Linked DNA regions of Canis lupus familiaris. The protein of the gene in region 2 interacts with the protein of the main gene of each other region in a pairwise test. Links are inferred from orthologs where the notes say so. Each region holds a gene or a part of one and is shown on either strand. Other genes may lie near its edges. The genes, in order: METTL21A, LNX1, MTMR9, PRR13, KXD1, NECAB2 and CUTC.

Region 1 (4,123 bases), on a different chromosome or scaffold from region 2:
GGGGACCGCAGGAGTCACGGACACTGCCCACACAGCATAGCGTCCTGCTCCATCTGGCACCTTTAATTTCTTGCTGTTTGGTATATGAATTATATCTCAATAAACCTGTTATTAAAAATAATAATAATTGGGCAGCCCGGGTGGCTCAGCGGTTTAGTACCGCCTTCAGGCCAGGGCCTGATCCTGGAGTCCTGGAATCGAGTCCCACGTTGGGCTCCCTGCATGGAGCCCGCTTCTCCCTCTGCCTGTGTCTCTGCCCCTCTCATGAATAAATAAAAAAAATTAAACCATAAAATAAAATAAAATAAAATAAAATAAAATAAAATAAAATAAAATAAAACAAAATAAAATAAATAAAATAAAATAAAATAATAAAATAATAAAATAAAATAATAAAATATAAAATAAAATAAAATATAAAATAAAAATAAATAAAATAAAATAAATAAAATATAAAATAAATTAAATTAAATTAAAAAATAAAATAAAATAAAATAAAATAAATAAATAAAATAAAATAAAATAAAAATAATAAAATAAATAAAATAAAAGGCAGCCCGGATGGTTCAGTGGTTTAGCGCTGCCTCCAGCCCAGGGTGTGATCCTGGAGTCCCGGGATCGAGTCCCTGTGTGGAGCCTGCTTCTCCCTCTGCCTGTGTCTCTGCCACTCTCTCTCTGTCTCTCATGAATAAATAAATAAAATCATAAAAAAATAAAAATAAATAAAAATAATAAAATTATAATAAAGACCATTCTTACAATGAATTGTGGTTGTCTTCAGAGGCCCAGTGGCTGTACTTACCGCGTCCCAAACCACTGCTGCGACTCCCAGCTGCCTCCAGTCCTGCCGGATCTGGATCGTGTGGTTCGCAAAGGAGAAGGTGGCAAGAGGCTTGTGGAATTTCTGCAACCCCACTCCCGGGGTGTCCTCATAGGGCACCAGGGCCATTTCGCAGGCACTCAGCTCTCTGCACCCTCAAAGCTCTTGAGGCTCTGGCCAGGGGGAGAAAATAAAAAAAGCATTCTCTCTTAAGTAGCTCCAAATGCTTTTTAAGGCCATTTTTCACAAGTTCAAAAGAAGACAACAGAGGTGGGGGTGGGGGGGCTTGCTAAGTCCCTCGCGAGGCCCTTCCCCTTCTGGGAGGGGCGCCCGGTTCCGCAGCCCGGCCACGGAGTCGGCTCTGGGCCCACGACCCCGCGGGCGCACCGCGGCTGCAGGGGGCCCGGAGCGGCGGCCCAGGGCGGGGACGCGGGCACGCGCGGGAGCTCTAGCCGCGGGCCGCAGCTTGGGTCGCCCCCCGCCGGCTCTGAAGTCCCCCACAGCGACGGCCACGAGCCCGAACCTGCACTTGGACCGGGTGTTAACGGTTTGCGCGCAGCCCCGGGTCGCCCCGGCTGGAAGTGCGAGCCCCGAGCCCCGAGCCCCGAGCCCGCCCGTCCGCGACCCCCTCGCGCGGGCCCCAGAGCTCCGGGAACGGGGGGGTCCCCGGCCGCGCCCAGGCCGCCCCCCAGGCCCTGCGGGCACAGCGGCCGAGCCCGAGCTGGGCCCCCGGCCTCCACTCACCGCTCCGGAGCCGCCCCGCGCCGCGCGCCTCGCTCCGCCCGCCCCGAGCGCCTCCGGGCCGCAGACACGCTTCCGGCCCCGCCTGCAGGTGAGCTGGGCGCGCGCCCGAGGGGTCCGGCCCGCCTCCCTCCCTCCCTCCGCGGCCCGAGGTGTGCGAGCCCCGAGGCCGGGCCGGTCTCCGAGGGCGGGGAGGGCGGGAGGGCGGGAGGCAGGGAGGCCTCGGCCGGCTGGGGGCGCGCGCGGCTCGGGCTCTCCCCGGCCGGGGCCCCGCGGCTCCGCGCGCTTCTCTCGGGCTTTGCCGACGGGGAGCGTCCGCCCGGCCCGAGCGCGGAGGGTCGCCCGTCGCCCGCGGACCGAGTGGGCTCCGAGGAGTGCGCGGCCGCCCCTCCGTCCTCGCCTTGCCCCGTGCTGGGTCCTCGGCCCTCCGCGTCCGAGGCGCTGGCGTCGCCGCTTGGTGGCAACAGAGGAGAAGTGACAAAGCCCCTGTCGTCCAGAGCGCGAACTCGGAGTCCGCGCGCGACTGGCCCCGCGCCCCTCCTCCCCGGACCCGCGCCTCCTCATCCTCCCCGGACCCGCGTCCCCTCCTCCCGGGACCCCGGTCCCCCTCCTCCCCGGGCCCCGCTCTCCCCCTCCTCCCCGGGTCCCGGTCCCCCTCCTCCTCCCCGGGCCCCCTCCTCCCAGGGTCCCGCGTCCCCTCCTCCCCGGGTCCCGCTCCCCCTCCTCCTCCCCGGGCCCCCTCCTCCCCGGGCCCCGCTCTCCCCCTCCTCCCCAGGTCCCGGTCCCCCTCCTCCTCCCCGGTCCCCCTCCTCCCAGGGTCCCGCGTCCCCTCCTCCCCGGGTCCCGCTCCCCCTCCTCCTCCTCGGTCCCCCTCCTCCCCGGGTCCCGGTCCCCCTCCTCCCCGGGCTCCCTCCTCCCTGGTCCCCCTCCTCCCAGGGCCGGCGGTGGGCGCACCTGCCCCAGGGACCTCGGTGCCGGACGCGACAGTCACCGACCCAAGCTGCCTCCGTCCTCCCTTTCTTCCCGCTGTGCGCCACCCCCCCCCCCCCCCCGCCCCACCTGCCGCCGCTCGTCCCGGGGGTTTTCCGCGTCCCCGCGCCTGAGCAGGACCGCGGCGCCCGCCACCTGCCCCGCCTGGGCTCTGCCGCGGGGACGTCTCTACTGCTGCCGGGCGACCGAGCGTGGGCCCTTCCCGGTGCCTCCCGTGCGACCTGCTGCAGGAGCCTCAGGCCAAACCTAAACCGCCGCTCTCTGGCCTCCCCCCTCCTGCAGGGGGCCTGCGAGCCTCTCCCCACTTTTCTTTAACCTTCCAGCGGAAGGCCGGGCCGCAGAGGAGACTTGGAAGGGATCAGCAGTGAAGAAGGCCTTTGGCTAACTTTTTGTCTTTGCTCAGCTTGTTTATTTTAATTTTTAAGATTGTATGTAATAGGATTTATTTTTTAGTGCAGTTTTAAGTTCAGAGCAAAATTGTTGAGAAGAGACAGAGATTTCCCATACACTCCCTGCACCAGCACAGGCTTAGCCTCCCCCCCCCCATTATCAGCACCCCCCCCACCAGAGTGGCACATTTGTTACAATTGATGAACCTTCTTTGAACACAGCATTATCACCCAGAGACCATAGGTTATTTGGGGGGCTCATCCTTGGTCTTGAGCATTTTATTTATGAGTTTGGACAAATCTGTAATGGCAAATATCCACCATCATAGCGTCATATAGAGAAGTGTCATTTCCCTAAACATCCCCTGCGCTCCACCTGTGGATCTCCCTCCCTCTACCATAACCCCTGGCAACCGCTAATCTTTTTACGCAGTTCCTCTGGTCCATACCAAAGAGTGTGATTACTGAATTTTATGGTGAAAGTATGTTGAGTTTTATAAGAAACTACTAGACTCTCTTCCAAAGTGGCTGTACCATTTTGTGTTCCCACTAGTAATGAATGAGAGTTTCCGTTGCTCCATGTCCTTGTCAGTATTCGATGTTGTGTTTTGAATTTTAGCCACTCTGGTAGGTGTGTACTAGTTGTTTTAATTTGCAATTCCCTAGTGACATGTGATGTGGAACATCTTCATATGCTTGTTTGCCATCTGTGGATCTTCTTTAATGAAGTGCCTGTGGAGTCTTTGGCCTACTTTTTTGGTCCTATTTTATTTTCCAGCTTTATTGAGATATAATTGACATATTTAAGTTTAAGGTATAAAGTGTGATGATCTGATACGTGTATATACTGCAAAACCATTATTATAATAAGGTTAGTTAACACATCCATCATCTCACATAATTATTACTTTGTGCACGTGTGTAGTGAGAACATTTAAAATCCACTCTCTTAACAACTATTAAGTATAGGCTACAGTATTATTAACTATAATCACCATGCTGAATATTAGATTCCTAGAACTTACTCATCTTATAACTGTAAGTTGGTACCCTCTAACCAGCATCTCCTCATTCCCCTACCCCCTGCCCCTGGCAACCACCATTCTAACCTGTTTCTATGAATTTGGCTATTTTAAAAAATAGATCCCACATAGGGGCATCTCGGTGGCTCAGCCAGTTAAGC
Region 2 (3,500 bases):
TTTTAAATCGCCATTGCCTGTCACCAGACCTGTTCCAACAAATGCTTATGGTAACGCCTACTTAATGTAATCAAAGTAGTTTAAACATTAATTGAAAGCAATCACCCAAGTACTGTTAGCACCAGGAACTGACGGATTAAGGCCGCTGCCCACAGCCTGCCAGCAAAGCCAATCTTACATTAAATTACATCCCAGCGGAGGTTAAGGACGCGCATTTGCAACGTCTCAGGCTTCCTCTGGCTGCTAAATTGCTTTGTTGATCATGTCCTACGGTACTTTGAAGTCATTTTAATTCTTTCTGTATTGTTCCTGGAGAGTTGAGCACTTCTTAATGAACTCATAGTTCATTAGGGAAAATGGACTAAGGTCATGGGTTTTGAAAACAGGGCTCATTATGCAGAGCCAGACCTGCTGTTTCCCCCCTTCCCAGCTGACTTAATGAAGAGAGAATCTTAGGGCAGAGGCAGCTGTCGGCAGCTAGAGGAGACAAAAGCATCCCGCCCACCGCATCCAAACTCAGCAACCAGGGAGGAGCCGCCGGCGCCACCAAACCAGGTGCAGCCTGCCTGGCATCCCACGGTGCCCCTTCTGCACACTTCTGTGCAGACAGTGCTGGCTTATGGGTCTCTCCGGCGAGTCCCCCGTGGGACCCTTGTGAATCCCTGGTTGTTCCAAAACCCCAGGGAGGTGACAGGACGGCAGGTCACCTGGAGCCCTAGGGTGTGACTGGCTCTGACGGCCACCTTACATTGCAGCCTCCAGCAGACCAGGTCACTTCCCCACTCTCAGCTCAAACGCCCTCACATGCAGAATAAAGCCGCACTATGGTGTCTGTTGCTGTTAAACCAGACGACTAAGGAAGCTCTTCTGCATGTGGGCCCAGTGGTGGGGTCGGGTTGGGGTGGGGTGCGGTGGAGGCTGGTGTTGAAGGGACCCGGGAAGGATTTCATGGGGAAAGAAGAGTCTTCCATTCAAAGGTAAAGTCTGAGCTCTCTGCATCTCCTGTTAGCTCTGAGTTCAGCAATCCCGCCAGAGCAGGGATGAGCCTCCAGATGCCACCACCTCTCCTTGGTCAGGGATCGGGCTGGCTGACTTCCCTTTATTGACAGCAATGTCTGGGAGGGAGGCCTGGGAGTGCCCTGAGCCTGAAGAGCAGGGACTGCCGGGGAGAAATCTTCAAAATGGCCTGAGAAAGCAGAAAAGCTGGTTTGGTCTGTTCTGTCCCTCGACAGGGAGGCGCTGAGCCTGTGGTCTCTCCCTTAGTGACCCTTCGTCCTCATGCACCCCTCCACCCTCAGGAGGCTCTGGCCTGCGCTCGTGATCTGTACACACAGCCACAGGACAGCTGCAAACAGTGTCCTCAGAGATCTTAGGGTCCCGGGGGAGGATGAATGAAATGAGCATGAATGACAACAGAGGGCTCAGTGCTGGGGAGAAATACAAGCTTTTGGGGTGGGGGGTGGGGGGCGGAATGGGATGTTTGGACAGAGCAGGGCAAGAGGGACCAAGGTAGAGCTTAATTGAAAGGGATCATTTCATGCGAGTCTTGAAGGAAAAATTGGGTCTAGGCCTAGAATGAAAAACATTCCAGGCAGAGAAACCGATGCTGGCAAGGAGGCAGGAAAATGGAAAACATGTATGAGGAACGATGAATAGTTTAGTTTGGCTGACACCAAGGTTTGGCAAGAAGAGGAGGGCTTGGAAATGTCTGCCGGGTGGGTGTCTTAAATAAATACTGTCTTTGTCCATTTTAGTCTTTCCAAGGTTGTATCACCTGATTCCAGATGGTGAAATTACAAGCGTCAAGATCAATCGAGTGGATCCCAACGAAAGCCTCTCCATTAGGCTCGTGGGAGGCAGCGAAACCCCACTGGTCCACATCATCATCCAGCACATTTACCGCGACGGGGTGATTGCCAGGGACGGCCGGCTGCTGCCAGGAGACATCATCCTGAAGGTAGGCCGCAGTCGTGGTGGGGCCGGGAAGAGGGGGCTTGCTAAAATCCCTTCGGAGCAAGTCAGCGGATGGATGGAGGAAATGCCAGATGGATGGGAAGCGGTCACTTTCTAGGGTTGTCACGCCGATAGGGCTCTTTCCCTGAGAGTTGTCATTTAATGGAGATAGGTCTTTGCCCCTTCTGTCTTGTCCTTATAGCCTCTGCCTCTTTCTGGGTAAGAGTATTTCTGTCTCTGTCTTCCCCTCCTTCCTCGTCTCCCCTCCAGCTCCTGTCCCTGCTTCCCTTTCTCTACCTCCTTCTCTTCCTGTCTCCTTCCCAACCCCTCCTCCCACTTGAAGTAACCATAACATAAAAGAATATGAAACTGGAGCATCTATTTGTCTTCTCGTATTGTTTTTAGAGCAGGTTAATGGAACATGTCATCTTGGATCTGGTCACTCCCTTTCACACACCCCCCTTGTGGGAAACTTCCTGTAGCTTAATGGCCCTCCATGAGAAAACCCAAAAGGTGAGGCTAAGCTATTCCCACCAAGGCACTGACCTTCCAGGGCGGGCAGGAGGTGGAACAACACACCCTGGGCCTTGCTGTGCTCAGGGGCTTGGGTGAGAGGAAGGATGCTAGGGAAGACTCTTGAGCAGAAAGGACAAAGGGAGAGTTGTTCATCACACAGAGGTCGGACGTGCGGCGAGAGTGACAAGGAATCCCTCCCTGGCTGTAGACTCCCTGTCTGATACCCAGAGAAGAGTTTCATCCCGTTCAGGGGCCAGCTCCTGATACAGCGTGAGCTATTTCTCTGCCAAAAAAAAAATTATTATTATTATTATTATTATTATTATTATTATTATTATTTGGAATAAGAAAGCATTTAAAGCAGCGATCAAACCTCCCCCTGGTCTCTGGGGTAAAGCACAAGGCCGGGCCCGTCAACCTCTAGAGACAGTCCACAGTGCAGTCAGTGGACTCTACGTGGCTTCCCTCCAGAGGGAGGGAGTTGTTCTGCCCGGGAGGGTCACATAAGACATTCTGATTCTTAGGGCCTTCAGGTGGCCCTTGCAGGCCAAGGGCTGCCAGGACTGTCCTGCAGATGACCCCGGCCTGGGTGTGATGGGGGAAACGAGACACAGGATACATGACAGAGCGGAGCAAGGGCTTTAAGCTCACCTGTGCTTGGATACAAGTGGTGAGGCTTGTCTGTGCACGCGAGCCTTCATCCATCCCTGGAGAGGCAGAAAAAAAAAAAAATGATGATTGTGTCCTGCAGGAAGACCTCTTAAAATCTCACTCTGAGCCTCCTCTATCAATTGGCTGCAAGTACAAGAAATCCGACCCAACCACAGAAGTTCAAGAAGGCTGTCTCTCTCCTGTGGGGCCCCGGTCCTGCAGACCCTGCGCAGAGTGTGGGGCTGCTGCGAGATGGTTTTCTTGCAAAGCAGTGACTCCCGCTAGGGGCTGAGCCTTCCGGCTGGGCCTGCTTAGCCAGAGTAATTAAAACCAGAAAGCCCCATGGGGCATCAGCCCTGCAGATAATTAATGAGGCACAA
Region 3 (3,500 bases), on a different chromosome or scaffold from region 2:
CTTAATTTAGTTTTTGGGGTTTCCTTCAACTGTTTTTAGAATAATGGAGTCCCAGACTCCTCCTAAGTATCATGATATAGTAGTACCATTGCCACTGACTTCCTAGATTGACAGTTTTATGTTTCTTCTTGTTTTCATGTTTCAGAAAGTGTGGTTTAGCTATTGTTTCCTAGATCCATTACATTACAAGTAATGAAGGCATCCTTATATAGTCAGCTGATGGTAGAAAGGTAGAATCAGCATCAGAAAGATAGAGAAAAATAACTTTTAAGTGTATGTTAGGGTTTTTTCCCTAAGAGAAACTCTACATGTGCCTTATTTTTCCTCTAAACCCTACTGGACAGAGCAGAATGCATGAGTTTGAAATACTGTACTTAATAAATGTTATTAATAGAGTTGACTGATCATGTTAGGAGTATCCCATTTTGTACTCTGGATTTTCCTATCAGGGAAGGGGCATCCATATTGATTCATGGAACAGAAGGAACTGATTCCACACTTCAGGTTACCTCCCTGGCCCAGATCATCTTGGAACCGAGAAGCAGGACCATCCGTGGTTTTGAGGCCCTGATAGAAAGAGAGTGGCTGCAGGTGAGAAAATCTACTTCGTATGCACAGAAACTGCTAATAATTGATGTGATCCCAGTTTGCAGGAATGGATAGAATTTGTGAAATTTTGATTGATTAAAATGTTTAACCTGTATGTTTAATTTTCTGGGAGCAGTTAATCCTCTCAGTAAATGTTTATATATCCTCACTGCATCTCAATTTTTGTGCCTCTCTGCTTGTATTGCTCACTTGGTATTTCATTCCCTTAACAAACTCTTATTAGTTATACTTTGTTACCTATAGGGGAAATAACAAAAAATGTGAAACAGTCTCTGCTAGAGAGGAAAAAAAACATCAAAACCAGGAAGGGGGTGTGAGGACTTGTAATTATAAGGCATGTGCTCTAGCACTTTCTGCCTGTTGCTTGTCTGGCTTCACCTTATCCTCTTGCCTCACCAGGTGAAATCCTTCTTATGCTTTAAGATACAACTAAATGTCGCTGCTCTCATGCAGTCTTGGGACCTTAACCTTCATCACAGATAAAATCGATCCATTGTCTTCATGCCTTAGTCCTGAAACTACATCCAAATTAAGTGATTCCTTTGAGGTCAGGGAACCATGTCCTGTTTCTCTTTTATCCCTAGGACACAGCACAGTGCAATCACGTAATGCTGAATGACAACTGAAATAAAGGCTTCATGAAATAGATTGAAATCCTTTAAGTCAGAGATTAACTTATAAATGTATATACACTATGTAATTTAGTAAATGTGATTAAGAACAAATGTTTAGATAGATCTTAAAAGTAGAAGCATCTCTGGAGAAAAATCATTTCTGGCCCTTGTAGTTAAAATTTAGATTTATTATGTGTTAATGCTCTTACGTATACCATATTCACCTGCCTCACAACTGACCTGTATCTCTGTTCAAGTGAGACCATCCCAAATATTTGGTAAAAATCTCTTCAGCGACATTCATGATGCATAGCAAACAAATAGGGGAATGTGATTTACATACTTATATATTACCATTCCAATGGGTATCAAAACACCATTAGCTAGTGGAAAATGTTCATGACATTTTCTTTGTCAGGTAAGGTAGTATAAGGATCTAAAGATAAAAGCAAGTGTGTGAAATACCTAGAAGGGTATGATTTGGGTTAAGGTCAATACTCAGGTTCTGGGTGAGCCAAAGAGCCAAATGATTCTTAAATTTACTTTAGTCAGTAGAGGTCAGACTCTTCCAGTTCTTTTTTTGAGAGAAGAGGGAAGTAGGGACAATTTTATCTCTAATACAAAAGTATTCCTAAAGAATTTTTTTTCACATGTAATTAAGTATTCAGTATCAGGAGTGACTTTATAAAGTTTGTGTGTGAGAAACCCATATTTATTTCCATTTATGGGTGAGGCTTACATAGTTTACAACAATCTACCACACTTTGGATAGAGAAAAGGTGGTAGCTGTCTTTTGTGTGGTCCCTGAAGACCATATATTCTTTGACTTTGCTAGAAATTACAGACCTAGAAAATTTTACTTTATAGAATTCACCTAGCATAATTGCAGTTCTTATGGTTATGCCTTAACTGCACAGCCTTGTTAAATATTTGGAAGTCATGGTTTTTTTCCTTAGTTACTGAAAATTGTTTAAATTTATTAATTAAAATCAATTGAAATGATTAAACAGCAGCCATCCAAATTATATGGTGTTCCTTCAATAAGAGTTTTGTTGCAACTGTGTGAAATAATGGTAATAGAATGTGCTGTAATGTGCTCTCACTAGGCCATGACTGTCACATTTCCATCTTCTGTCTTAGGCTGGTCACCCGTTCCAGCAGCGCTGTGCACAGTCAGCCTATTGTAATAGTAAGCAGAAGTGGGAGTCACCTGTATTTCTTCTCTTCTTGGACTGTGTGTGGCAGATACTTCGTCAATTTCCTTGTTCTTTTGAATTTAATGAGAATTTCCTCATCATGCTCTTTGAGCATGCATATGCCTCACAGTTTGGAACATTTCTGGGCAACAATGAAAGTGAAAGGTGGGTACACTGCTTACATGGGATGGGGGCCATTCCGTTTGTATTTTGTTTTGGTCACTTCCTAAAAGAGACCAGGATTTGGTTTCTACATTAATGTTATTGATAAGATGGTAGAGGTTACAGCTAGTATAAGTTAAATAATATGAAATGTGTTATATGAGCCTATCCCATCCTAGGTGAGAGCATGTCCTAGACTTTTTTCTATTAGATTAAAATTAGTCCATACACTGATTTAAAAGCTTTGAGTAAATTGGGCAACCATTCAATGTTAATTTTCTTGTATAAGATCATGGCAATCTTACATCTGGAAGAAGCCTTAACATATAATCCAACTCCATCCTCTATCCAGTTTTATAGATTGGGAGGAGAGTATCTAGAAAAGTTAAATGACTTGACCAGGGACACACAGCCAGTTGGTCACCAATAGTGGGGTTATAATACAGGTCTTCCTTCTTTTGCTCCAAAGTTTATCTGTCACACTGTCCTCAGGTCCAGAGGGACAGTCTCACTTTATAGTCCAGACACCATCGAGTTTATAGGTTTAATTAAGAAGATTCCTATCAGAATGATCCTCAAAGGTGCTTAACTGGTAATCTCAGTTGGGTACAGTCAAAAGGCTTCCTCTTCTCTTTTTTCCTTTGTCATTTCAGCTAAAGGGACAGTTTTGTTGGTTTTTTCCTGGAACCACCTTTTGATTTCATTGACACTCTGTCTATTCTCTATTTCGTCTGTCTACTCTCTACTCTTATTCTTTCCTTCTTTCTGCTAGCACTGGTTTAGTTTGCCCTTCTTTTTCCAGTTCTTTAAGGTATGAAATTACTGATTTAAAAGTCACCGATGTGAGATCTTCGTTCTTTTTTAATGTAGGTTTTTACTGCTATAAGTTTCCATCTGAGCACTGCTTTCACTGGATCCC
Region 4 (4,108 bases), on a different chromosome or scaffold from region 2:
CTGCCTGTGTCTCTGCCTCTCTCTCTCTCTCTGTGACTATCATAAATAAATTAAAAAAAAAAAAAAAAAAAAGAAACAGCCTCTGTGTGCCTGTCTACCTTTACTTTTTCCTAAGCCCCAAATGGGAGAAAGTGAGGAAGGAGGGGAGAGTACTAGTCAAGGTTCTTTACTTGCACACCCCCAACAACTGTCACCAAACACATTTTTTCATCTCTGCAGGGCAATTTCTACCCCCATTCAACCTCATATCTTTCCTTCTCCTGCAATTCCTACCAAAGATCCGGAAAGGGGTAGTGCCCAAAGCCCTAAGGCAAATAAACACTGGGCACTAAAATGTAAATTAAGGCCTCCTCAAGATCCAGGAAGATCCAGGTGGGTTCGGTCCTTCCAGGGTTGTCCTGAGAGCTACTTGGTTCGGTCCTTCCAGGGTTGTCCTGAGAGCTACTTGTTAGTTAACGCTCTTCTAGAATGAAGATACTAGCTGAGGGCTAGCATCTCTGGGGCTGAGCATGAAATTTAGGTTTTGTTTGAGGCTGAGTCACTGAGAGTCCTGCTGGGTGGTAGGACAAAAAGGCCCCTGTGATAATTAACACAGCACCTCCAGAACACTGAAGGTGGGGGTGTCTGACTTGCTAAACCAAGCGTCTGGGGATGGGGGTGGAGCAAAAGTTCTGGGAGACAGAGACAGGAAGGGCTTTGGATTCTGTTCTGTATTCTATGGCTCAGCTTAGCCTCTCCTCGATAGAAGGCCCGATTTGCCTAGTATTTCAAGATTACCAGATTCTTACCAGTGGAAATACTTTACAAAGAAGAACCGTCGACCAGAGCCACACAATGGCTGCTTCATGTCCTCAGACTGCAAATCCCCCCATGCCTCTGTGGTGGGCACCCCTTCCTAGCCAAGCTCCAGGGGGCACTGACCTTGCCATGCTTGTGGTGTTTGTGCGTCTTTTTATGAGCTTTCTTCATTTTCTTCCGCATCTTCTTGTCCATCACCATTCCCGGTCCCCCCATGCCAGGTGGCAAGGGATTCACAAGAGGCGTGCCAGGAACAGGTGGTGGGTAGGGAGGTGGGTAGGGACCCGTGGGTTGGCATCCGGGGTACCCTGGTTGTGGCGCAGGATAAGGGGGCCCACCAGGGGGAAAAGCTGGATTCCCCTGGGGAGCCCCTGGGGGAGTTGGATAGGGGCCCGGGGGGTAGGCGGGATTCACAGGTGGCGGATGGGCAGGATTGGCACCTCCAGGGTACGCGATGTTAGGGGGATATGGATGAGGCCCTGGCTGTCCTGGTGGAAGAAGCAAAGAATAAGTTAGGATTCCAAGAGCTCAGAGCCTCTGACGATAAACAGGGGCAAAAAGAAGGGGGTTCCGTTTCTCACTCACTACTTACAGGGAAATGCAAAGGCGGGGGAGCAGGTGGGGCGGCGGGGAGGCAAAGCCGGTGGGCAGAGGGAAGGCGAGGGCGGCGGCAGGGGTGGGGAGGGAGGGAGACGGTGACTCGGGACCGACGAGCGCAGGGTCAGCCGAGGAGGAGCGAGGACCGCTTCTGTGCGCGAGGGGGGCGGAGAAAGCGACAGAAACTCCCCGTGCCCGGCTCCTCTGAAAAGCGGTTGCGGCCGAGCCCCCGAGCACCTACCGGCATTGGGATTCCACATGTTCGGGGCCTCCCTGCAGCCTGAGGAGGAAGAAACCAAGGCGAAAAGCTGATGGTGCTGGGGGGGGGGGGGGGGCGGGGGGGGGGGGAAGGGGGGTTAGAGACCCAGCCCGGAGCAGCGCCTCCCGGACTCGCGGAACCGCCTCGACCTCCGCAGGCTTCCTTCCCCACCGTCCCTGCGCTCAGCACCTGCTTCCTGCTGCCCCCAGGCCCGGGGCGCCCTCCCCGCGCCTCCACCTTCCACCACCTCGGGCTCCGCGGGACAGCGCCCACGTCCGCGACCTCCGGGCCCGCTCTCCCCTCCCCTCCCCTCCCCTCTTCGCCCCTTCCCCTCCCATCCTCCCCTCCTCCGCGACCTCGGGGTCCGCTCCCCTCCCCCCCTTCCCCTACCCCCTCCGCGACCTCGGGGTCCGCTCCTCCCTCCCCCCCTCCCCCCCCCCCGCGACCTCCGACCCCGCTCCCCCCTCCCCTCCCCTCCTCTCCTCCCCCCCTCCGCGACCTCTGGGCCCGCTCTCCCCTCCCCTCCCCTCCCCTCTTCGCCCCTTCCCCTCCCATCCTCCCCTCCTCCGCGACCTAGGGGTCCGCTCCCCTCCTCCCCCTTCCCCTACCCCCTCCGCGACCTCGGGGTCCGCTCCTCCCTCCCCTCCTCCCCCCTTCCCCTCCCCTCCTCCCCCTTCCCCTACCCCCTCCGCGACCTCGGGGTCCGCTCCTCCCTCCCCTCCTTCCCCCCTCCGCGACCTCCGGGTCCGCTCCCCCCCTCCCCTGCCGGGGCTGAGCCCGGAAGACTTTCCTCACCCACCGCTACGGAAGGATCTTAAACAACTTCACCGCCCTCAGCCCGGGCAGGCGGAGGGAGGCAGGACCCTCACCCCAGGCCACGGGAAGGAGCCGGAGAAGGCGTCCAGGGAAGAGCCTCCACCGCTGTCTTACGGAGACACACCCCCCTTCCACAGCCCACAGGGCAAGTGGAGAGCCTGGCTCCCGGCTGCCAAGGATCCCTGACCTGGGGACGAGGAAAGGAGGAAACTGGGGAACCCAGACGCCCAGTCACCTTTACACCACCTCCCGGGCGGGACTCATCCTCGGCTCTCACTTCCTGGCCCCCGCCCCCCGCTCCCCGACCTGGGCTTCAGCGCCCGCCCCCGCCCCCGCCCCCGCCCCCGCCCCCGCCTGGTTGGCGAGCGCTTGGCCCGTCCGCGTCGTGATTGGAGAACACAGCCGTCAATCACTCTGGCAGGCGGGGCTGGAGGCCGGCGGCGGCCCCGGGGGCGGAGCGCGGCCCCGGAGGGCGCAGAGGAGTGGGCGGGCCGGAAGCGCCGGGGGCGGGGCCAAGGCGGGCCTCGGAGGGGCGGGGCCGGCTTGTGGGCGGAGGCCCGGGGAGGCCCGGAGGACTCTGCACCGGGGCCCTTTGAGCTCCTCGGGCGGTGGGTGCGACGCCTGGAGAGGTGACCGAGGCGGTGCCAAGGTCCTTGCAGAGCGCCTAAGAGACGGCGGAGAGCTGCCGGGTCTCAGCCCCACGCCTCGGTTTCGCCACCTTCCTCCTCTCCCCTGTGGGAAGTAAAGAAACATTCTTGGGGGAAATACAGAGATTTCCTAATCCCCCTTAGAATTCCCTAGCTCACTTGCATAGCTCCGCCATCCGTCGAATTGCATAAGGCAGAAGCCAAGGAGGTCATCTTTGATGGCTTGTCCCTTGTCCCGCCGCCGCCGCCGCGAAGAGCTCGTTTTGTCTCCCAAATAAATCTGAATTCTTTCCGCTTCTCTCCATGGTCCCTGCTCCTAGCCTATCATCGTCTCTCTACTGGATTGCTGCAATGGCTTCATGTTTTTTTTTAAATCACAATTAACATAAAAAACCATGCACCCCAAACTTAAAAATACTCATTCTTCCTAAGCATACTTAGGCTACTTATTAAAAAAAATTGAGGGGCAGCCCAGGTGGCTCAGCGAGGCCTGACCCTGGAGACCTAGATTCGAGTCCCACTTCGGGCTCCCTGCATGGAGCCTGCTTCTCCCTCTGCCTGTGTCTCTGCCGCTCTCTCTCTCTCTGTGTCTCTCATGAATAAATAAAATCTTAAAGAAAAAAATTGGGTCTCAACTAATATAAATCAAATTTCAAAGAATTGTACACTACATACCACATTCTCTGGTCACAATGTAAAATACAAATATACATCTGGAAATTTAAGAAAACAAAAAGGCTTCCAAATAACTCTGGGTCAAAGAATAAACCATGATGGAAATTAAATACTTTGAACTAAGCCATACTGAAAATACTACATCCCAAATTTGTGGGATATATAAAAAATATTAAGAAGATAAATTGTATACTGTCTATCATCTTGAATTAAGCCCTTTGATAGATTTTTAAAATATTTTTTATTTTGTTTTTTTTTATTTTGAAATAATCCTTAGACTCACAAGAATTTGTAAAAAAAAAAAAAAAAATTGGGG
Region 5 (3,074 bases), on a different chromosome or scaffold from region 2:
GATGTGGGAAGAGACTGACAGATCTGTGCAGGTAGAAGTGGCCATGGCCTTGGGCCTATGGAGAGTTGGGGCCGCAGAGGTGGGTGGGTGATGGAATTCTGATGTACTTGGGTGCAATTTGCAGATATGTCCTCCCAACACCCCTGAATTCTTAGGATGACAAAGCTGTGGCTCAGGTGGTGTGACCAACTTATGGTCATGGGGCCCGGGGTTCTGAGACCCTCCTTCCATCCCACCTACCCCAGTGGCTGGTATAGACTGAAGACTCTTCCTGCTTGTTTCAGGCAGCGGAGGAGGAAGAAGAGATGGACCCCCCGGACTCGGCCTCGAGGGTCTTCTGCAGCCGCATCCTGAGCATGGTGAACACAGATGACGTCAATGCTATCATCCTGGCTCAGAAGAACATGTGAGTGGTGGCCAAGAGCTGTGGGCCCCGGGCGTGGGAAGGAATCCACTTGCTGGCCAGCATTCTTGCCCTGCCCACCCCTACCCTGGGCCCACACTGGTGATAAAATGAAGGAAATGAGCAAATTTGCCGGCTGGCTCCAAAGTAAATTCCTTCCTGGCCTGGAGGCGAGGCCTTGGCACAGGAAGCAGGGCTTTGGGATGGTTTTGCAGCTGCGGATGGCTTGGCAGGGGCCGCAGCAGCTCCTATCCCAAGACCTGGAGTGGGGAGTGGGGGATAGGAAGGAGCTGCAGGAGGGGATCTGAGGAAGCCAGTGAACTGATCTCCCATTAGGAATCTGGTCCCTCAGAGCCTAGGCTGTCTCTGCAGAGTACTCATGGTCTTTTGGGGGGGCCGTCAACACCCTTTGCCCTCCTTGGGGCTTGGCATGTGACCACCACAGCCTCACCCTAATTCCAGCCTGCTCTGTGGGGAAGAAAGGCTTACACAATCTTAGGGTGGAAACACAGACTCCTGTGGCTTTATTTTTGTGTATTTAAGACAAAGTCTCTTCCTTCCACTTATGACACAATACAGACCTGATACCCTTCCACTTCTCTCATCCTGTGACAAGAGTGCTGGGTTTGTCTGGGTCAGATTTAGGCCTGGCCTGATGAACTCCCACAGTCAGGGAAGACAAAACCAGACACAGACCTTCCTGGCCCCATGGTATCAGGGCTGGGCCAGAGGAATAACTTGGGTCTAGGAAGTCCAAGGAGTCAGAGTCTGCTTGAGAGGGAGGAAAGGCTATGTGAGAAGTATGTACTGGGTAGGATTTTAGGGGTTTTTGTTTGTTTGTTTTTATCTGTTTGTTTGTTTTTTAAAGATTTTATTTATTTATTCATGAGAGACACAGAGAGAGAGAGAGAGGCAGAGACACAGGCAGAGGGAGAAGCAGGCTCCATGCAGGGAGCCTGATGTGGGACGCGACCCCAGGACTCCAGGATCATGCCCTGGGCTAAAGGTAGGCACTAAACCACTGAGCCACCCAGGGATCCCCCTTAGTTTTTGTTTTTTAAAGATTTTATTTATGTATTTGAGAGAGTGCACACAAGAGAGCACAAGTGGTGGAGAGGGAGAAGTAGGTTGCTCATCAAGCAGGGAGCCTGATGTGGGGCTCGATCCTAGGACCCAGGGATCGTGACTTGAGCCAAAGGCAGCCGCTTAACCAACTGAGCCACCTAGGTGCCTTTTGGGTAGGGTTTTGAAGGTTGAACAGGAGTTTGCTAGATGGCTCAAACAGCAGGTAGAGTTTTGTAGGGCAAGGGAATAATACATGTAAAGATCATGAAGCAGGAAAGGGCTTAGCATGATTAGTTTGTGGGGCATGGCAAGTTTGTAGAGCATTGTGTGTAGGGCTGGTGCTTTCTCACTGCTGCCAGGCTGGACCGCTTTGAGAAGACCAACGAGATGCTGCTGAATTTCAACAACCTGTCAAGTGCCCGCCTGCAGCAAATGAGCGAGCGCTTCCTGCACCACACAAGGACCCTGGTGGAGATGAAGCGAGACCTGGACAGCATCTTCCGCAGGATCAGGTGGGTCCTCAGCCCCTCCAGCTTCTGCCTCCCCCTCCGAACCTCAAGTTCCTCCCCTGTTCAATGAAGACCATCCACTCCCTATAACAGAGCAATGAAGGAGATTTAGCTCCTTTGCTTTATGAGGCTTTAGCGCTCACTTAGAATCTGAGAAGTTCTGAACTTTGGGATAAAAAATCTTGAAGTTTCTGAATTTAAGTTTCATTTATCTTTTGCCTAATGCAAAAGGCAGGCAAGTGCAGCCAGGGGAAGGCAAGCCTCTGGTCCCTCCAGCCCCCAATTCAGGTCTTCTCTCAAGAGGTGTAAGAAATTGCCAGTTTTTTGTGGGTCCCTTCTGAGCTGTTTTCTGTGACGAAACACAGAATGCTCGAGGCAGCACTCAAGAGCCTGCATCAGTGCCACTGTTAATGACTGTGGCCACATGCCTGGGCCTGGAGTGAGCCAGAGCTGCACCCACAGTTCCCCTACTGATGGAGTCACTTCCTCGGCCCTGGGGGCAGCCACACCCACTGGCAGAGCAGAAATCATGCGATGGGCCAATTAAATTTAGAAAAGCACATATTTTCTGGGGCGTCTCATTGGGCTGGTTGCCCAGGCGTGGTGTTGGGGGTGAGCTGGAACCCCAAGTATTGGCACCCTTTGTGCATATCTGTATCGCCCGGGAAGAAGAAAGTTATTTCTGCCCAGTTGCCCTGTGGGTAGGGACCCAGCAATGGTAGTACTTCTGGTGGGGACTGGTTGGCCACGGTCAAGGATGAGACTCCACCCCAAAGATCCCTTTATCATTCTTTTTAAACATGACTTTATTACTTTGCGGGGAGAAAAGGACAAACAGCTGGTTAGAAATGAAGCAGGCATTTCTCTGTGAACAACATTTTAATATGTGCAAGGTACGTGGTGTCTGGAATGGATAATCACTCCTAACACAGACACTCTCATCCCAGTGATGGGGGACCAACTGGAACAAGTCACTCAGGGGAGTGACTGCTGAGGATGGAGTGAGGAAGCCTCCTGGAAGGTTATCTGGACAGAGGAGGGCAGACATAAGAAGGGCATGGCAGGTAGAGGGCCCAGCTAGGCCCAGCATCAAGGAC
Region 6 (3,500 bases), on a different chromosome or scaffold from region 2:
AGGAACACATGAACTTTTTAATCAAGATAGTGACCAAAAAACGCAGGAAATCTCTGTGTCAGCCTCCAGAGCGGTGGCTGTTCACCTTGGGGACCCTCAGAATCACAAGGCTGAGCGCGAATGTGGAGTTCTGGGCTCGGCTCCCAGGGACTCCCAACCTGCAGGCATGGCCGAGGCCAGGGATCTGCATTTCCCATTTCCCACATGATTTGCCCACAGATGCTCCAAACAAATCTTGGGAACAGCATCACTGAACAGCCTTTGCAATCCTATCTGGTTGGGACCAGCCCTCAGCAGCCAAGAATCACCTGCTCAAACCCCGACACATCAACCACCCTCACCCTGGCCCCACCGAGCCCCCATCTGGGAATGGCACACCGGGCCCAGCAGTGTAGACGCCTGGCTCTTGTTCCTGTCTATCTCTACCTCTTTGTGTCCCCTCTGCACCAGATGCACTGGCTGTTCTGGAAAGAAGGGCAGAGAGGGGTTTGTCTCAACTTGGGACAGAGCAAAAGTGAGGGGGACCAGGGGCTGGCCTGGAGGGAGAACTGCTCCTCTCTGGACCCCAGGCTGGCCTTCCCAACACACATGCTTTTCCTTGGCTTTGACACACAAACAAGGCCCTCGGTCACTTAATTCACTTTGCTTCTCTTCAATCCTGCAGAGAGAGTCAGGATTTGGTGCTACTCTTTCTTCCAGGCCTCTCTTGGCTTCCCCAGTCTCTCCTCCTAACAGATGGAGGGAGGCCAGGCCCCGGGCTTCTGCGACTGTCTGCAACCACAGGTGCTTGGTTTTATAGCTACTTCATTTATGGCACATGGAAACCTCTCCACTTGTGGTAACCACGTAGCTTCCTAAACTGATTTCCAGCTTTCAAAAATAAGGCAAATAATAGAATAGTCTTAGGCAAACAATAACGTGAGTGGTACAATTGATGAGTCTAGGGAACAGTCTTAACTCGACGTGTGTACACGGTGCACGCAGGTTATGCACACACACCCGGCATCATTCTGCACATATGCCGTCTCATTCAACCCACAGTCACTGAAGAGGTAGGTGTATAATGGTCCCCACTTCAGAGCTGGGGACAAAGAGGCACAGAGAGGTGTAGCCCCTTGCCCAAGGTCCCCAGCCCCCAAGCACACAAATGGTCCCTGGAAGCAGGCTGCTGTGTGCATATGTGACATGTCCCCAGGTGACACTGTGGTCCCAGTGACGCACCGGATCTGGCTGGTCTGCTCTTCAATGGCCTCCACTGCACTCTCCACAGAGCTCAGCAGCGACTGGATCTGATTGGCCGTCTCCTTCAGAAGAAAGCGTGTCACAAACTGGTCCACGTGGCTCCCGCCCTCGTACACCTGTGGAGGGGAGGGAAGGGAAGGGCCCAGTTGGGAAAGGGGTCAGAGAAAGGATTTAGGTGTGGGGTCTGGCATAGAGCTGGGTGTGCACTTGGGGTCGGTGTCTCTGCCTCACAGGATGAAACAGGGACCCCGGCACCTCTTGCATCTTGGACACTGTAGGGCTCCTGCACCAGGGTGGGGGCTATGGATTAAGAGATGGAGGCTGGAGCCCTGGCTTCACCACATACTAGCTCCTGACCTCTGCGACCATGAGAGGAGTCACTCTAGTGTCTATCTTACAAGGTCACACAGATGACTGGATGACAAAACGTAGAGAAAATGCTCAATGTGGGGTACCTAGGGGGCTCAGTCAGTGAAGCATCTGCCTTTGGCTCAGGTCATGATCTGAGATCATGTGTCCTGAGATCAAGTCCCGCCTCGGGCTGTTTAGTGGGGAGTCTGCTTCTCCCTCTCCCCTTGCTCCTCCCTGTTGCTCATGCTGTGTCAAATAAATAAATAAATCTTAAAAAAATAAAATGCCCAACGTAGTACCTGTCATAGCAAATAATGAATTGTAACTGCTATGATAAAGATGACGACAATGATGATGATATGGATGATGTCACCATCCATGTTGATACTAGTGATGATGATGATGACGATTGATGGTGATGAGGAGGATGGTGGGGATGAACATGACAACAGCAGATGATGATAATGGTTGTGGTGGTTATGAAGGTGATGACAATGACTATGATGGTGACAATGAAGACAATGACACCGATAATTATGGTGATGGTGGTGATGGCAGTGGTGATGATGATAGTGGCAGTGATGGTGATGAAGTTGTGGTCGTGATGAAGATGATGGCAGTGACGATGATGGTGATGATAGTGGCAGTGATAGTAAGGATAGTGATGGTGATGAAGATGACAACAGTGATGATGGCAGTGATGAGGACAGTGATGTGGTGGTGAAGACGATGCTGGTGGGGGTGGTGGTGATAAGCAAGCTCATTGGTGGTGATGTTCCTGATGTTCTTGTTGACAGGGATGAAGTATGACACAACCCTGTTCCCCTCCTTCCTCCAAGAAGGATCCCTTGGGCTCCTGACCCTTCATGATGCAACTCAGAGAAATGAAAGACTCAAAAGCAACCAGAGAGGTTCAACTGGCTCCTCTCCAGAGAATGCCGGAGACTTGGTCTCAGAAGGAGGGAGTCAGTGGAGAACCTGGGATGGACTGAGAGAGGAGATTCAGAGGCCACGAGGAGAGAAACTGTGGGGGAAAGAAGGAGGAAGAGAGTTTCCACAGACCTCGCTCTGTGTTGTGAGAATCTCCCCTTCTGTCAAGAGTCTGCGACAAAGACATTTCTCAAGGCTTTAGGATCCAGCTGAGATTCCCTTGGCTTCGGAAGGCTTTCAGGGGCACTGAGAAGGTTCTGACTTGGCCAGGCCACACAAGGACGGTAAGGATCCAATGGCACTGTGTTGGGGATGCTGGACCCCAAAACCCTGTGCAGCTCTCCCACCTCCTCTGCCAAGACCCCACCCTCCCGAGCCAGCTGCCCAGGCTCTGGCAAGGCCAGGGAAAACCGGGCTTTCAAGGAAAGCAAATTAAGCCATCCATCACTCTGACTGGGAATTAATTAGCAATGAGTGTACAAAGGAACCACCACCAGAGACAGAGAGGGAAACAGAGGTAGGGGTGGGAGAAGCAGGCACACACACAGGGAGATGTGTGAGGGGGATGTCCCATGCCAACGCTGGAGACAGGCCCCAACACACAGTGAATCTGTGGCAGAAGGTAGATGAGGTTCTGGTCACCTAATGCATTTCAATTACTGATTATCCTCCCTAGCAAACGGCTGAAACCGTAGTCAATCCAGGGATCAATGGGCCCTGGACAAATGAATGGCCAACAAGAACAAGAAGCTATGGTCTGGTAAGAAATTTAAATGCAAAGAGAAAGCCTGCTAAAAGCCAGCGGGCAGAAAAATGAGTTGAAGTAAGTGTATTAGAAGCAGCCAGACCAGTGGCTGAGGTTGCAAAGATCCACGAGTGTAACTGCTTAGCTGAATTCCAAAAAGACAAGTTATTTTCAAAGGAATGAACACGCAGCTTTCACAGATTTCTCCTCCACCATGATCGATGCCTAAGCC
Region 7 (4,260 bases), on a different chromosome or scaffold from region 2:
GCCTCAAGGGGCGCCTGATCCCACAGCTGCAACCACACTAAGGATCAAGACAGACAAATTATAACTGGAGCCGCATGGAAAGGCCTCAGTCCACTGCTCTCACACACAATCCCACTGTGCCTAGAGTGGAGTACCCCGTACGGCCACATCTCCACTGCTTCTGCCCTAGTAGACCATCATCTCCCATCGGGATTACTGCATCCACCCCACAACTGGTTTTCCTGTCTCTAGTTTTGCCTCACTCCAATCCATCCCCACGCTACATGAACCTTCTAGTCTCTGCATACTTCCCCCAGACTTAACTCTACACCTAGATATGGATTATTTTCTTTCTCTCTGACTGGGATGCTCCTTGCCCCTGATTGAGAATTTCTACTATAGATCTGTTTAGATGTCACCTCCTCTGGGAAATATTTCTAGACTCTCCCGGGTCTGCAACAGGTCACTCCCACAGCACACCGTACCTTCCCCATGTCAGCCCTTCACACATTACAACGTACTTCAGGTTCATCTGTCTCCATCCCTCACAAAGCTATGAGTTGTGGGACAGCAGTGTCTGGTCAGTCTGGCTCTTTCTCTCTGGGCACTTTCGTTCCTAACACAGTTCGCTTACATAACAACACCTTAATAGAGATTTGACAAATGAATTAACTGTGCCTTCCTCCAGGGCAGGAGCCTTTTGGTATTTATCTTTTCCTTCCCAGTTCCTAACACACAATAACCACTCAGTAATTATTTGCTGAGCGAATACAAGTTCTCTTCTGGCTCTGTCCCTGAGTCTAAAGATTCGTGCTTTGTTTCCTAACTTTAAACAACTTAAGCCTCAATTTCCTTCTCTGTAGAATCAGGTTATGGTGCCTTACCCGACTACCTGCAGGCTTTTAGCAAAAATCAAATACGTAGGTAAAAATGACTGAACTTTTATCATGTGCCAGACGCTTGCTGTATATGAGATTATTTAATCCTCAACACAACTTCTGAAGTAGGTACTGCTATTCCCATTTTACAGATGAAGACTAAGGTACAGAAAGGTTTCTTAACTTGGCCAATATCACGCAGCCAGTATACGGCAGGTTCGGATCCTACCTCAGAGGCTCTGGGCACAAAGAAATCCGTCGTGAATTCTAAGGAACTACTGCAATGTGATGTGGGGTTATCTATTATTTTTCTCCTGACTCTTTCGCCCCATGTCCTATTCCGCGACTAAGTCCACTGCGGTGCAGTACCTGTGCTCTAGGCGCCGCCCTAGGAACCAGGAGCCGGAGACACGGGCTCCCCACGAAGGCTTTCAGGGGCGGAAAGAGCAACCGCTGCATCCTGAAGACGGCGCAGAAATAAGCCACCTCCACCGCCCAGCTCTCGGCGGGCTCCCTCCTCCACCACCGAACGGAGAAGCACTTCCGGGTTATGCCGCACGGGCCCCTCCTCCTCAGAGGGCAAGGGCAAGTAGTGACTGCGCCTGCGCCAGCGACTCAGCTTCCGCGGGGGCTGCTGGGTCCGGGTGTCGGGGACGCGCAGGGGTGCGCGCAGCCGTGAGGCCGCGCTTCTTTGCTCGCGCGCGCCGGACCCCGGCATCCTCGTAGAAACCGAAGACGCACGAGGAAGGAACGCGTGGAGCATGAAGAGGCAGGGGGCCCCCTCGGAGCGGAAACGGGCGCGTATACCGTCCGGGAAGGCCGGTGCGGAAGGGGGCGGGAGGGGGCGGGAGGGGGCGGGAGGGGGCGGTCGGCCGATTTGGCCGTCGGGGGCGGGCCTGCGGGGGTTCTGGCAAGCGGGGTCGTGGCGATTGATTCTGTGGGAGTGCTCGGCCCAGCCCCTCACGCCCCGCCCCCCGCGCGCGGGCCCGTTCTGCCTTCCTGACTAAGCGTGTGGAAGCTGAGGGCCTGAGGAGGAGCTTGTAGCGAGAGTGACGCGACGTGTGGGTTCGAATCCCGGCGCCACCGCGTCTAGTGTGCGACGGTGTTCAAGTTGGTTAACTTCTCCCGGCCTTACGTCCGCATCGCCACGCGAGGCCGCCAGTCCCCGCCCCGTGGCATCTCTGGAGCAGTTAGATGCCGAGCGCTGAGCACTGTGCCGTCCCCCGGCGACCGCTTGGGAACCTGTAGCTGCTGCGCCGGGGGTGAGGGCTGTCCCCAAGCTGCACAGCTGCCCCAAGTCCCGAGAGCTTGCTGCTTGCTGTGCCAGGCGGGACGGCGTGGCGGGTGCTACATCCCCCCCACCCCCACCCCCACCCCCACCCCCACCCCCACCCCCACCCCCCTCCACCGCCCCGAGAACTCCTGAGTCCTCCAGACCAGTGGTTCTCAAGCTTTTTGGTCTCAGGGCCCCTCCCCTTTCCTATCGAGAACCTCAGCTACCGTTTGTTTATATCGGCTTTATCTATCGGTGTTGACCGTATTCGAAGTTAAAACAGAAATTTAAAAATACTTATTAGCTAGAAACCCATTACGTATTAACACAACTAACGTGTGTGTGTGTGTGTGTGTGTGAAAAATAACTATCTTCCTAAACAAATAGAATGCCAGCTTTTTATAGTTTTGCAAATCCCTTTAAGATCTGGATTAATAGAATTGTTATACCTGCTTCTGCATTCGATCTGATGTGTCAGGTAGCCTCTTGAAAATTCCACTCCACCCGTGAGAGAAGGAGAGTGAACAAGGCAAATGAAGCCTTAGTATTATTATGAAAATACTTCTCACTGCACAGACCCTGGAAAGGTCTTAAAGGCCCCGGGAGCTAACGGAACTACCACACTGAGAACTGCTCCGAACAAATGTCTGATTCCTACAAATAACCTGGCTTCCCGGACAACTGTCTTGCTCTGCCTTCTGTGATAGCCTTGTGTGCTCTGTGTGTGCACCGCCCCCCTCTCCTGGTGCTTTCTCCCGTGAGGCAAATGGCACCTCTGCAGCACTGTCCAGTTGGATTGACGTGACAGCTGGTGTGGGCGGCTCTGCAGAAACTCGGAGTGAATAGAGTGCTGCTGGCTACGAACATAGAGTGGCACTTAACTCTTTCACAGTTTGAGACTGAAAATCTTCTTTTAAATAAGTGAGACAGTTGTAATTTGATGTAAGCAAATGATAGGTGTTTGTTATTCAAATCAAAAATAGCCTTTTTAAAAATGATAAAAGCAGTATTGGATAGAGAAAAGCAACATAGAAAAGTAAAAGGGGGAGGCGTACCTGGGTGGCTCAGTCCATGAAGCACGGGACTCTTGATCTCAGTGCCCTTATACCTTGGGCTCCACTCTGGGTTCCACGCTGGGGATTAAGTAGAGCCTTCTTAAAAAAAAAAAAAAAGAGAGAGAGAGAGAGAAAGAGAAGGAAGGAAGGAAGAAGAAAGAAAGAAAGAAAGAGAAAGAGAGAAAAGAAAGAAAAAAGAAAAACGAAAGAAAGAGGAAGGTAAAAGTAATTTCAGATCCTATCACCTAGTAGTTAACTATTATCAGTATGTGGTAATTCTTTCAGGTATTATTGCATGAAGTATACATTTAATATTCTTAATTGTAAAAAAAAAAACACTTATGTGCTTAATTTACAGAAAAGCTCAAAACGTTATTTTCATCATACTTTTAGAGTCAATACATGAATGAAATTTGTGAATTTGTAATTACTCTCAGCCTTTAGTAAATCTTTGTATGACTATTCTGTCCCAAGGTAGACCCTGTGCTTGCTATGGGTGATAATAAAGATTTCTCATAGAAAGAGACCTTACTTAGGAACTTTAGGTCAAATAAAAGTGAACAGACATTATCTACATACATAATAAGAAGAAATAGAAAGTAATTAGTGTTTTAAAAAGAAACAATTAGGGACATCTGGGTGGCTCAGCGGTCTGCCTTTGGCTCAGGGCTGATCTTGGAATGCCAGGATTAAGTCCTGCATCGGGCTCCCTGTGGGGAGCCTGCTTCTCCCTCTGCCTGTGTCTCTGCCTCTTTCTCTGTGTCTTTCATGAATATACAGAATCTTAAAAAAAAAAAAAAAAACTAAAAACTAAAAAAATACTAAAACTAATGTTTTAAAGAAGAACATATAATTTATGAAAAGTTACATGAATTCAAAAGAAGGAGATTCCTACTTTGGGAGAGAGGAGATATGGAAATATGATTTAATGTGAGCCTTGGAAAATTTTACCATTCAAAGATGGAGCTGGCAGGACATTGTGGGTTGAGGAGATGGCATAAGCAAGAGCAGAGATGGGAACTGAGGGGAAACTGGAGGTATATAGAGGAAATAATATATTTATCAGTGATAACTT

The links.
Region 1: the proteins of LNX1 (region 2) and METTL21A interact in binary tests that used the Homo sapiens proteins (3 or more experiments, as listed by UniProt). The link is inferred for Canis lupus familiaris from reciprocal best matches to the Homo sapiens genes LNX1 and METTL21A.
Region 3: the proteins of LNX1 (region 2) and MTMR9 interact in binary tests that used the Homo sapiens proteins (3 or more experiments, as listed by UniProt). The link is inferred for Canis lupus familiaris from reciprocal best matches to the Homo sapiens genes LNX1 and MTMR9.
Region 4: the proteins of LNX1 (region 2) and PRR13 interact in binary tests that used the Homo sapiens proteins (3 or more experiments, as listed by UniProt). The two-hybrid records come from large-scale screens. The link is inferred for Canis lupus familiaris from reciprocal best matches to the Homo sapiens genes LNX1 and PRR13.
Region 5: the proteins of LNX1 (region 2) and KXD1 interact in a two-hybrid assay, tested with the Homo sapiens proteins (2 studies listed by BioGRID and IntAct). The two-hybrid records come from large-scale screens. The link is inferred for Canis lupus familiaris from reciprocal best matches to the Homo sapiens genes LNX1 and KXD1.
Region 6: the proteins of LNX1 (region 2) and NECAB2 interact in binary tests that used the Homo sapiens proteins (3 or more experiments, as listed by UniProt). The link is inferred for Canis lupus familiaris from reciprocal best matches to the Homo sapiens genes LNX1 and NECAB2.
Region 7: the proteins of LNX1 (region 2) and CUTC interact in a two-hybrid assay, tested with the Homo sapiens proteins (3 studies listed by BioGRID and IntAct). The link is inferred for Canis lupus familiaris from reciprocal best matches to the Homo sapiens genes LNX1 and CUTC.

Annotation. Positions count from the first base shown.
Region 1 is NC_049258.1:15,864,235-15,868,357, forward strand, and holds the start of METTL21A (protein N-lysine methyltransferase METTL21A), read right to left. Parts: upstream 2,801-4,123; 5' UTR 2,516-2,800; intron 1,653-2,515; exon of another isoform or gene 1,565-1,652; intron 1,414-1,564; exon of another isoform or gene 1,344-1,413; intron 994-1,343; 5' UTR 950-993; coding exon 803-949; intron 1-802. UniProt on the Homo sapiens protein: Protein-lysine methyltransferase that selectively trimethylates residues in heat shock protein 70 (HSP70) family members. Contributes to the in vivo trimethylation of Lys residues in HSPA1 and HSPA8.
Region 2 is NC_049234.1:46,800,672-46,804,171, reverse strand, and holds part of LNX1 (E3 ubiquitin-protein ligase LNX), read left to right. Parts: intron 1-1,754; coding exon 1,755-1,957; intron 1,958-3,500.
Region 3 is NC_049246.1:26,746,151-26,749,650, reverse strand, and holds part of MTMR9 (myotubularin-related protein 9), read left to right. Parts: intron 1-449; coding exon 450-591; intron 592-2,363; coding exon 2,364-2,584; intron 2,585-3,500. UniProt on the Homo sapiens protein: Acts as an adapter for myotubularin-related phosphatases. Increases lipid phosphatase MTMR6 catalytic activity, specifically towards phosphatidylinositol 3,5-bisphosphate and MTMR6 binding affinity for phosphorylated phosphatidylinositols.
Region 4 is NC_049248.1:44,879,484-44,883,591, reverse strand, and holds the start of PRR13 (proline-rich protein 13), read right to left. Parts: upstream 2,801-4,108; 5' UTR 2,706-2,800; exon of another isoform or gene 2,450-2,705; intron 1,704-2,449; exon of another isoform or gene 1,676-1,703; 5' UTR 1,656-1,675; coding exon 1,637-1,655; intron 1,287-1,636; coding exon 922-1,286; intron 1-921. UniProt on the Homo sapiens protein: Negatively regulates TSP1 expression at the level of transcription. This down-regulation was shown to reduce taxane-induced apoptosis.
Region 5 is NC_049241.1:44,892,169-44,895,242, reverse strand, and holds part of KXD1 (kxDL motif-containing protein 1), read left to right. Parts: intron 1-284; 5' UTR 285-305; coding exon 306-406; intron 407-1,827; coding exon 1,828-1,980; intron 1,981-3,074.
Region 6 is NC_049226.1:68,820,894-68,824,393, forward strand, and holds part of NECAB2 (N-terminal EF-hand calcium-binding protein 2), read right to left. Parts: exon of another isoform or gene 3,200-3,500; intron 2,808-3,199; exon of another isoform or gene 1,359-2,807; coding exon 1,222-1,358; exon of another isoform or gene 1-1,221. UniProt on the Homo sapiens protein: May act as a signaling scaffold protein that senses intracellular calcium.
Region 7 is NC_049249.1:12,809,896-12,814,155, forward strand, and holds the start of CUTC (copper homeostasis protein cutC homolog), read left to right. Parts: upstream 1-1,460; 5' UTR 1,461-1,618; coding exon 1,619-1,679; intron 1,680-1,779; exon of another isoform or gene 1,780-2,119; intron 2,120-2,579; exon of another isoform or gene 2,580-2,834; intron 2,835-4,260. Other genes in the region: cytochrome c oxidase assembly protein COX15 homolog, read right to left, coding at 1-37, 1,227-1,316. UniProt on the Homo sapiens protein: May play a role in copper homeostasis. Can bind one Cu(1+) per subunit.